Drosophila melanogaster: one gene and its partner. The protein of the gene in region 2 binds, or shares a complex with, the protein of the main gene of each other region. Each region holds a gene or a part of one and is shown on either strand. Other genes may lie near its edges.

Region 1 (5,537 bases), on a different chromosome or scaffold from region 2:
ACGCTTTTTAGAGTTTCCTGGGCAAAGCAGCTGGCATATCGTTTGTCGCCCACCACGACGTCCTCGGGAGTGGAGACCTGCAGCTTGTAGTTGGTGGCCGCTAAAGAAGCGCGCAGGGACATAAAGTGGTTGCCAGCATTGCCCAGAATCTGATTGTTGTAGTTTTCGGCTTCAGGATGGTTGCAAATGTATTCGTAACTGGGATTCTGGTTGGGAATCTTTTCGAACATCTCCAGGAGCTGTTGCCGTTGCTTTCGACACTTGAACCCGAAGAGTTCCAAATCTTCGTCGGTGAGAGAGGCCAAATCCAGATAGTTAATGTTCTCGGCAATAAGTTTGTCCACACAGGTGCTGGCGTAGTCCGTTTCCACGCTGGTAGAGCACAGTAGACCGTTGAGGATCTCCCTCTCCCGGCGTGTGTCCCTGTGAGCCTTTTGGCGAACCCAAGGACGTCGATTGTAGCCCAGGAAAGCACTGTCCAATTCCTTCTGCTCGGTGTGCGAGTGAAAGTTCTTTGTGGCCTCAAACTGAATGGTCGGCGGAACCTTGGCCATCGCCACCAAGGGGACATCCCCCGCGGACATTGTGTGCGTCTTCGTTGCCATAAACTCTGTCAATAATGGCAATTAAATTACCATTAAAATGCAATTGCGCTTAGATTAGATTCGCTGTTAAGAATCGGACGTTTACGAGCACTGCGAGTAGGGGTGGTCAAGATTCCTAACAGATTATGTTAAAAGTAACAGAAGTAGTAAGGGCTCTGTAAACATTTAAAACGTGAATATTAACAATTTAGTAATTTTATTTCCTTTTTCCTATTTCGCATTCTTGTACGAATCGAATTTTCTTCTAATGAATCACCCTACCCAACCAATTAAGATTAAATGCTTAACATTTGTATTTAAAAAGTATAACAAATTGATAAATTGATGACGATTAAGCTTCCTAACTATCCTATTTCTCGGACGATGACCTGTAGATTGGGGCACTGGTGGTGGACGCCTCCTGGAGCTTCTTCATAAACAGAGCCTTTCGCTGCTCATCCGCACTCAGTTTGGTACTTGAAACGGAGGCTTTGATGCGCTCTAACTTGTCGACGTTCGGCTCGGTTAACACCATTAGGCCGTACCCCATTCCTCCGAAGCCAATCAGCCACAAAACGGACTTAAAGTAGGGATTACTAAGCATTTTGGAAGCGGTCTCCTCTAGTCGCTTTTCTTCAAAGCACTCCAATAACTCGCATCCGCCTGTCGCACTGTGCTGTCTCCGACGATTTCACCAATTTTGTAGTAATAGTCCAAAACGAAGGGATAGTTCTCGTGAATATGCTGACGAAACTCTAGGAGCGGATTGTTATTAACGATCAAAATAATTATATAAATATCCTCCCACCTCGATTCGTGTTCATGCGATAATAAACGCCGTAGCTGGCTGCGAAGCAGACTGCCTCGAGGACAAACAGTGTTTTGGCACTTCCTTTGATGAATTTCCAAATTGCAGGTTTTGGTGTTTTGCGCAGCATTTTAAGTGGGAGTTGTAAATATTAAACACGTTTGCTTTCTTACAAAAAAAAAAGGAAAACAAAATCACCTACCAGCTTATCGATAAAACGAATTATCGAACTGGGCCAGTGCTGGCTAACATGCGGCCAACAGCTGGTCGACCGGCTAGTGTGTGTGCGCCTCTTCTTCTTGCCATGTAGTGCAGTGTTTATCTCACGTTTTTGTTTTTGCAAACTGATAACGCGACGCAATTTAGTCTGTAGTGAAAATTGTTTTTTTTTACATCGATGGAAAATCGGCCACGATGAGCGGCAATACACACGGACTCAGCTGGTTTCCACATTTTCCCGACAAATTCGTATCCTGGGGCCAGGAAATCCATTTATACGAAGTGCGCCGCAAAGATGATCACAGCCAAAAAAGTAGGGTTTTCCCCAAGGGATTATGCCACTTTACTTAACCGCCCCCCTTGCAGGTCGCCTGCCTTATATATCCGTGAACTACCTCGCCAACGAGTCGCGCTATCAATATGCCCGCTGCGTGGCCGCCTCCTACCACAGTGACCAGCCCATAATTGCAGTGGGTCTGGCGGATGGCAAAGTCGGGATTTGCAACTTCCGGGACACCTACGACAGCAGCTGGGAGTACAGTGGGTGGACGACAACGCCGATTCTTAGCTGCATCTAATAGTTCTTCATTTCTCGTAGCACCGCGTCAGCAGCGCATGTGCACCTGCCTCGCCTGGAACGAGCTGGATGCCAATATCCTGGCCATTGGACACGATCGCCATCGAAATGACACCTGCATCACCATCTGGGACATTGAGCGTGGAGTTCCCAAGGAGACGGCCAACTTCTTCGGCGTCGGCGAGTCGGCCAACTCCATTTGCTGGGATCGAAATCATCGCACGGTCATTGCGGGAATGAGCCAGAAGATGATAAAGCTGTTCGATCTGAGGCGTGAGTACACATAATGCGACTGGTTATATTTCAACTACGTAGTATTACTTTATTGCCCTTTCACTGATGAAATCTTTAAATCCCTTTCGCAGAGAGTAACGCCACCTGTCAAAGCATTCAAACAAAGACAGTGCAGGGACTTTCCGTATCCCCCAATGGCAACTATCTCTGCAGCTATGTGGACTCGGTGATCACTCTGTGGGATCCGCGAAATATCAAGAGTCCCCTCAGGCAGATTCAGTCCTCGAAAAACCATTTGCAGATCGCTTGGTGTCCGACCAGGACAAGCCTGCTTTCCTCGCTGCAACGCGATTCCTCCTACATCACTCTCTACGACATCCGGAGTGTGGACACGGACAATTCCGGAGAGATCTACCACGTAAAACGACAGATTAGCCCCTTTCCGGCTAGATACCAGCACAGTGGAAAGTTTTCGTTTGTTAATTGCCTGTCGTGGCATTCGAGGGATTTCGAGAGAGCTCTGCTTTTGGCAGATGCGCTGAACATCCTGGACTTTCGACTGCCAGCCACCTTGCACACGGCGCACAGCAATCGCCGGAAATTGCCACTTCTGATGCAGCGTCCGCTCTACACACCCGCCTCGCCGACTTCCACTGCGGCCACGCCCACTCAGCAGCAGCCCACGAGCAGCTGCAGCACGAATAGCGGGAGTTCCCTGGACTTTAGCACTCCTGGTGGTTCGCCCTTCAATGTGGACCTGCTGAAACCGGAACTCTTTGAGCTGGATCTGGTGGACGAGACGCGTCAGCGCGCTCTAGAGGATTACGGCATCAAACCCGATAACAAGCGATTCGGCGAACTCCACTTGACACCGTATCTGCGAAATGTGTGGTCCACTTTGAACAATGTCTACAGCGAGGATCGACTGACGGGCTTAAAGGCCACTTTGGGCATTAACTTGGGACACACCTCGGAGGCCTTGATGGCCAGCTCCCGCATTGAATCTCAGGTGCTCCAGTGGCCAGAGGGCATCAACAACTCCAACAAACTGATATGCTACAGGTAAGTTTATATGAATTTGTGGTTTGACGAGTGTGATAACCCCAATCTTTATGCAGGAGTGAGCAGCGCGACCTGGCCCTCCAACTTTGCGGTTGGGCCTTTGAGCAGGAGCTGGATCGCTTTATAGACCAGTTGTATGCAAACAAGGAGTACAGCCGGGCAGCCATGATCTGCGTGTTCCACTTGAAAATTTTCCATGCCTGCAACATCCTATCGTCGGCGGCGGACAACATGAGGGATCCCAGCATGTACAGGATCACCGTCATCGCCTTGTCCAGTTTCAATGCAGATCGCTGCAGTTCCACGTGGCGGAATCAGCGATCCAGCGCCAACATGCAGATACACGATCCACACTTAAGGGCTGTCTTCTCCTTTCTAACGATGGAGAAGGACAATTTTGATGCAGTGCTCAAAGAGGAAGGCGTTTCGTTATCAGACCGCATGGCCTTCGCCTGCAAATATCTATCGGAGACCAAGCTGGCTGACTATGTTGCGCAGCAAATCCAGGCGGCCATAGATGGTGGCGATCTAAATGGCTTGTTGCTCACTGGAGAGTCGCAGGACGGAATCGATATACTGCAGTCCTATATGGACACCAGCTTCGATGTGCAGGTGAGCGTGCGCTATAAAAACATATGTAGAAACTTTGATATACATTGAGCTGTTTCTTAGACGGTAGCCCTGGTGGCCATTAACTACTTCCGGCAAGAGCTTTTCGAGGACAAGCGCATCCAGTACTGGATCGCCAGCTACTTGGATCACCTCAATAGCTGGGGCTTGTGGGAGAAGCGGGCCGAGCTGGACATCAAGATCGAGAGCATCCGCCCATCCTCCCGCAGTTCCCGCACCGTATTTCTGTCGTGCAACTTTTGCGGCAAGTCTGTGTCCAACGCCTTGCTGGACGAGCCGCGTCCACGGAGCACCACCACCAGCACCAACAGGCTCTCCTCATGCCCCAGCTGCCGGAAACCCCTGCCCCGCTGCTCGCTCTGCCTAATGCACATGGGCACAATGGTGAACATGAGCAATGGGGAGACCCCGACCACCACGCCCGACGTGCCCGGCTGGCAGACCAAGCCCTTCTCAAAGTGGTTTTCCTGGTGTCAGACCTGTCGCCACGGCGGACACACCGAGCACATCATGCAGTGGTTCAAGTGAGTTCAAAGTTACCAATATTTAATTGAATTCTGACCAATGTACGCGTTTATTTGCCAGGCAAAATTCAGAGTGCCCCGTGTCGTCGTGCAACTGCCGCTGCTTCGACATGGACGGCACCAAGCCGAACACATTGAGAGACATTTCCTAGCTGTCCGGAGCACCCACCATACACAGCCCTTACTCGCCCAGGCCATATGCATATGCATTAAGTTGTTGATTTGTTCCAAACGCGTGCGCCTTAAACAAACTCAGAAGTGTTCATTGTACTTAGACAAGGGATGTGCCCGTAGCATTAGTGTTTATGACCTACCAGCTTTTAGCTGCTCAATTGCATTTTATACTTACATTCAAATAAAGGACTATGTGCGACAAATTACTATAGATATTTCTCAGCTTTTCTTTTGAAAGTTGAAACCGTTATAGTTTCGTGTTTTGCAACACTTTCAGGTAGTACTTATTAGCATTCTTGTTGGAACTGATAACGGTCACACCGCTTCGCACGTTTTTATGCGGCGTTATTATTTTTTGTTGCTTTCTGACGTAAATGTGCAGAAAAAGTGCTTCCACTCGTAGGGCTTAAGTGAATGGTTAATAACATTATGTGATAACGCCTGAACAAACAAATCAAGATATAGTGAATAGATTAAACCAAAAGACAGTGCCGATACACAAGATATAATATAAAGACGGTAAGTTGTGGGTGGGGGTACAAATTTCCATAAAGCATGTGAGTGCTACGGAATTTGAGCACAGCACTTTAACTGGCAGTTAAGATTAAATATTTGTACATGATAGCTTTGAAAATAGCGATATTTAGTTACTTGACCTTTTCAACTCATTCGTGTCTACACCTGAGGCTTTTGTCCAATCTGAGTGCCCGAAAACGGGTTTCCCA
Region 2 (5,562 bases):
AGGACCGGGCCTCTGCTTTAAGCAGGGAAACGGACGCATCTACTGGTATCTTCACAGGCGTAGAAATCACACAGGTTTCGCCGTTGGCCGGCATGTAGGTTTCCAGGTTGAATTCGTCTTTGATCTTCGAGCGCAGGAACTTCATCTTCCCTGCTTCACCATGGACGAGCATGACGTTCTTTGGCTCACAGTTCTGAATTAGCTGCATAATGCCTGCAATACAGAAAATTAATTAGTATCAGCATAAAAGTGCTAAGCTTGTAGCCACCTTTGGCATCTGCATGGGCCGAGAAGCTCATGTACTCCACGGCCATTTTGACCTCGACCACCTGGCGGTTCTCGAACTCCACCTTCTTGGCGCCACCGAGAATCTTGTTGCCCACGGTTCCCTGCACACAGTAGCCGGGCATAATCACCATGTTGTTCTCATTCGGCGCCCACTTCTTGAAGATCTGCAGGGAAAGACCTGCGTGCAGCATGCCTGGCGTGGCGAACACTACCATCGCGCCAGGATTGTCGATGTAGGCCTTGTCAAAGGGCTTGATGTGCTTGAAGTCGAACATGTTGCGGTGAACGAAGGTCTTGCGGATCTTCTGGTTCGTCCAGGTGATGAACATTTTGTAGTAGGTATTGGCCTTCTCGGTAAGACCCAGAGCAAAGTATATGGGGTACTTGAGGTTCATGCGCTCCCAGTACGTCTCCAGCAGGATGCACAGCTCCTGGGCGCGACCCAGGGCAAAAACAGGGATTAAAACCTTGCCGCCCTTAGCCACGCACTCGTGAACTTTCTTGAGGAAGTCCCTCTCGCGACACCGCTTCGAGTCCCTAATGGTAGTGGCGTAGGTGCTCTCGGAGATCAGCAAGTCCGGCCGGCACTTGTCTATCCAGGCGGCTCCCAGATGCCTGTCTGGAGTCATGTTGTAGTCCCCCGTGTAGACAACGCTCTGGGAGCCCACCTTGATCCAGAACATGGCGGCGCCCAGGACATGGCCTGCATAGTAGGCTTTGATCTCAAGGTCCGTGTCCACCATCATACTCTGGTGAAGTGTGACGGGAATCACCTTCTTCATGCAGTCCTTGATCATCTGGGTGGTAAAGAAGTTCGACTCGCCTTTCCGCTCTACGGCCACCTTCCGCATGTCCTCCAGGAGGATGGGTGCTATGGCCTTGGTCGGATGCGTCATGTAGATGGGCCCCGTGTAGCCCACAATCTCTGACATGTAGGGCAAGGCCCCGCAGTGATCTGGAATGCATGCAATCGATAAAGAAACGATTAGAGCCAGTTGACCAGATAAGAGCGCCTTTGGGAGGCCGAGACTCACCCAGGTGGAAGTGCGAGATGATCACACAGTCAATGTGGCTGGTGATCGGACCCTCCGGCACTATGTAGGAGAAGTCCGGGAAGCGGCGCTCGTCGTTGTAGCCCATATGCATCCCGCAGTCGAGCATTATGTTCTTCCCGCCCATCGAGAGCAGCAGACAGCTGCGGCCCACATCCTGGCCGGCGCCCAAGGGCGTTATCTTGATGTCCGGCATTTCTGGAAGGGATCAGGATCACCCGGCTCCACTCTCCTGCTTTCTTGCGGCCACTTGTTGCGCTGGTAAATGAAATTGTCGAAAAAGTCGACCGTGATTTTTGTAAACAGCAAGGCCGCACGAATGGCGTTGCCACTCCGTCGGTGTGGATGGTCCGGCAACGACGCGCTCCAACTGGCAGATCTTATTGGAGTGTTCCAAGAAGTTTCAAAGAATTTAATAGCTTAATTGAAATTAATGTTTCTGTCTGTATATGTATAGAATACATTAATTATATGTGAATAATACAACTTTAGTACAATAAGTCTTTTGTTCAAACAATATTCAACATCTGCATTTGGGAACACTCGCGCCAATGGTTTGCCGCTCGAGAAACGGTCATACTGAACCGAAAGGAAAATAAAAGATAGCGTCTTGTCTTATCAAATCACTGTTTTGCTTTCTGCGGGCGAACTTGCAACTGCTGCAGGATGCCCGATTCCGTGGAGGACACCTCCACAATCTCGCTGCGGATATGCCTGGAAGGACACGCGAACGCCCTGGCCCTGAATAAGGACAACAACCAGATTGCTTTGGCCGGAAGAAGCTGTAAGATTAGAATTGCCCAAGGTCTTTCTATAAATACACATAATTTGCTTCCGAACAGTGCTTAAGGTGTACTCCATAAACAGCAATGGCTTCACGGAATCGTGTAATATGCGCGGAAAGAACCAGAATCTTAGCTACTCCGCCAACGATGTGGCCTGGTCCACCTTGGATAGCAATCTTTTGGCTACGGCGGCCACGAACGGAGTGGTTTCCGTGTGGGATCTCTCCAAGTTCGGCAGGCAGAAGCAGCTGCTTGTCTACAACGAACATGAGCGCACCGCTCATACCGTGACCTTTCACAGCAGCGAGCCCAACATCCTGATCTCCGGTTCTCAGGATGGCACCATCAAGTGTTTCGACATCCGATCGGATAAGTCAATCAACACCTACTTCTGCAACTCGGAATCAGTGCGGGATGTCAAGTTCAGTCCACACACACAAAACATATTCTCCGCCGTCTCCGAGAATGGAACTGTCCAGTTGTGGGACATGCGGAAGTGGGACAAGTGCATGGTGCAGTTTACGGCGCACTACGGGCCAGTCTACACATGCGACTGGCATCCCACAAGGAATTGGCTGGCCACCGGAAGTCGGGACAAGCAGATCAAGGTGTGGAACATGGATGGCAGGCCGGGATTGGAGCACACCATTCACACAATCGCCGTAGTGGGACGGGTTAAGTGGCGACCAGAAAGAACGTAGGTTTTTCTAGCCAGGTTTAACAGTCTTATTTATATTAAATCTGTTTAATCCTTTCCAGTTATCACATCGCTAGTTGTGCCCTTGTGGTGGACTACAGCGTTCATGTGTGGGACATCCGCAGACCCTACATCCCCTTTGCCTCCTTCAACGAGCACACCAATGTGACTACTGGAATTGCGTGGCAGGGCAGCGACTCGCACTGTCTTCTGTCCATCAGCAAGGACTCCACCATTTACAAACATGCTTTTAAGGATGCCACGAGGCCAGCGCTGAAGGCAAATGCCCAGGGAGCTAGCCTGGGCAGATTTGGGGACATCTCCTTTGCCAACAAGATCAAGGAGTATGAACCCAAGACCAGCGGTGCATCCAATACCAAGTCTTCTAGCTTCATGTATGTCGTATTTGTTGTATCAACTTGTATGTTTATATGTATGTGTATTTTAGAAGTCGCCGTAAGACGAATGTGGCTGGCAGCATTCAGTTCCATTTGGACCATTCCAAAATGTACAAATTCATGGTAAACGACACGGTTAGTATGACACTATTAGGGATTTCTTTGCCAAATCTGATACTAATTGATATATTTCAGTTTTCCGGCTATCCCCTAAGCGAATCTGTTTCAAGACCCACCCAAGAACACGAAAGTTTTATTGGCTGTGCCAGGGAACTTGTTATCAGTGGGAAAAAACTATCGGAGTTATGCGAGCACAATGCAGAGGTTTCCAAGAAATACGGCAAACATAATGTAAGCGCTTGAGATTATTCCCAAAATTTGCCAAAACTTAGCATCTACATTTTTCAGGCCACCACATTGTGGAACTTTATCAAATTGTTCTACGGCAGCAATCACTTTGAGCCTCCCTTCGAGCACCGCTCCTCCTTCTCGAATCAAAAGAATCCAATGAACTCACGACGTGCCACGCAAGTAGCCAGCGATTGGCCACAGCAGCGAACTGAACTAGGCCAGGATCTCAATGGAAACACGCCGGAAACAGCCCACGAAATTGATGTGGCGAATGTGGACGATGATACGCTCGGCAGCAGTGGTGTGGAGCATCCGCCTACGAGCTCAGTGATTCTGTCCGAAACGCAAATCATCAGCGAGATTACCTTTGACAACTTTGAGCTCTTGCGCAATGGGTTTATCTACGTGGGTCCCACAGAATGCCCGAAAGCTTTGGCCTTCCCCGCCCTTCATCACGATGTGCAGGCTGCACGACCACAACTGGATCTCAAGGCGTCCGATCACGAAAAGTCACCTGTTAGTTGAGATTATTGAGAACTCGATGTATTTACAGCTTAACTAACTTATTCATCCTCTTTTTAGCCACCGCATGTTCCCACTGTCCTAAAAGTCAGCCATGTCCCGCCCATACCCATGTGGGAACCGCATAAGTTCGTCTCCGATGCCCTCATGCTAATGAACGATGTGGGCGATGTGCAAACAGCTCTGACAGTCCTTATAGCGCTGGGAGAAGCTCGGAAGCTCCTGCCCATTGACGATGCATTGGTGGTGAGTTCAAAGACAAAGTTGGGATCAGAACGGAGTTATTCATCCGGTTTTCTTCCTTTTCAGGAGCACTGGTTTTACACCTACGTGGACCAGCTGCATCGCTATGAGCTGTGGAACGAGGCCTGCGAGGTTATCAACCGCTCCTGGCTGAGATCGGTGCAGCAGCTCAACCAGCACTCGACCGCCATGCACACGAACTGTGGAGAGTGTGGACGTCCAATGGGCGGCAAGGTGGGATGGTACTGCGACAAGTGCAAGTCCATGCAGTCCGCCAAGTGCTGCGTCTGCGGTCTGATCGTCCGGGGAGTCTACGCCTGGTGCCAAGGATGCTCCCACGGCGGTCACATAGAGCACCTGCAGAAGTACTTTGCCAAACACTCCAAGTGCCCCAAGTGCGGACACCTTTGCGCGTACTCATGAGACGCGGAGGAGGCTGGGTTTGCCCAGCTTTTGCCCCCCATTTGAGAGCCTTGTAAATAGAGAAGACTTAAGCCCAATAAGTACCTTGCACTAGACACTAAACAGATTTTTATATAAATGTAGCTCGAAGATGTAAACTTGTAAAATAAGCTCAACGTTTGTGAAGTAAATTAACAGACAGGTTTAATCGATCTTCTGCAACTTTAAATAGCACAAATGTTTGTTACTTAACTTTTTTTGAAATATTGGAAAATAAAACTGTTGTCTGTTGATGCAAGTAAGTTTATAAACATTCTGGGCTTTTGAAAAAAGTGTCCACTTTATTGAATTTCTTCAATCATTAAAGGTTTTTGAAAGATTCGTATTGGGTTTTAATCGCTATTGTTGATTAGTGTTAATAACAGTTTAACAGTTATGCGAGTGTTTCAATCTTAGGGCTACTTGATGAAGGTGCTCTTAAAAGGTAATATTACAACCACCTTGGAGTTGAGAGGTCGAGCCGCACATTCAGTAGCAGAAAGGGGAGAAAAAATTATAAAATTGAGAGTTCTGTAGGGATTAAAAACAGAGAGCAACATATGTTGCGGTTGTCTTTAACTAAATATCTAATTGTATGTCCTCGCGGGTGGGTGGACAAGCACGTCCGTCCACAAGGACACCACCGCCAGCCAGCGCTGTCCAAAAATCCATCATGCCCTCAGCGCAATGGAATTTTGGCAATGCCTATATGCATTTAATGTTTTCTTAGAATCCAATTTTAGTTTTGTTGCATTGCGCTTCGCGCATTTGTAACTTTGAGATGG

What was found. Proteins that work in one complex are often made in the same cells at the same time.
Region 1: Wdr24 (region 2) and mio share a complex: the UniProt entries of both Drosophila melanogaster proteins name them as parts of the GATOR complex.

What each region holds. Positions count from the first base shown.
Region 1 is NT_033779.5:2,215,621-2,221,157, forward strand, and holds mio (missing oocyte), read left to right. Parts: upstream 1-1,669; 5' UTR 1,670-1,806; coding exon 1,807-1,924; intron 1,925-1,977; coding exon 1,978-2,151; intron 2,152-2,209; coding exon 2,210-2,461; intron 2,462-2,553; coding exon 2,554-3,484; intron 3,485-3,540; coding exon 3,541-4,096; intron 4,097-4,156; coding exon 4,157-4,638; intron 4,639-4,699; coding exon 4,700-4,790; 3' UTR 4,791-5,005; downstream 5,006-5,537. Other genes in the region: daed (daedalus), read right to left, coding at 1-605; CG15386 (uncharacterized protein), read right to left, coding at 955-1,188; CG42371 (uncharacterized protein), read right to left, coding at 1,206-1,339, 1,393-1,522. UniProt on the Drosophila melanogaster protein: An essential component of the GATOR subcomplex GATOR2 which functions as an activator of the amino acid-sensing branch of the mTORC1 signaling pathway.
Region 2 is NT_033777.3:29,741,444-29,747,005, reverse strand, and holds Wdr24 (WD repeat domain 24), read left to right. Parts: upstream 1-1,913; 5' UTR 1,914-2,006; coding exon 2,007-2,124; intron 2,125-2,182; coding exon 2,183-2,822; intron 2,823-2,884; coding exon 2,885-3,217; intron 3,218-3,270; coding exon 3,271-3,355; intron 3,356-3,415; coding exon 3,416-3,571; intron 3,572-3,628; coding exon 3,629-4,087; intron 4,088-4,153; coding exon 4,154-4,339; intron 4,340-4,402; coding exon 4,403-4,759; 3' UTR 4,760-5,034; downstream 5,035-5,562. Other genes in the region: IntS11 (integrator 11), read right to left, coding at 1-213, 269-1,243, 1,323-1,536; Gnpnat (Glucosamine-phosphate N-acetyltransferase), read right to left, coding at 5,267-5,308. UniProt on the Drosophila melanogaster protein: An essential component of the GATOR subcomplex GATOR2 which functions as an activator of the amino acid-sensing branch of the mTORC1 signaling pathway.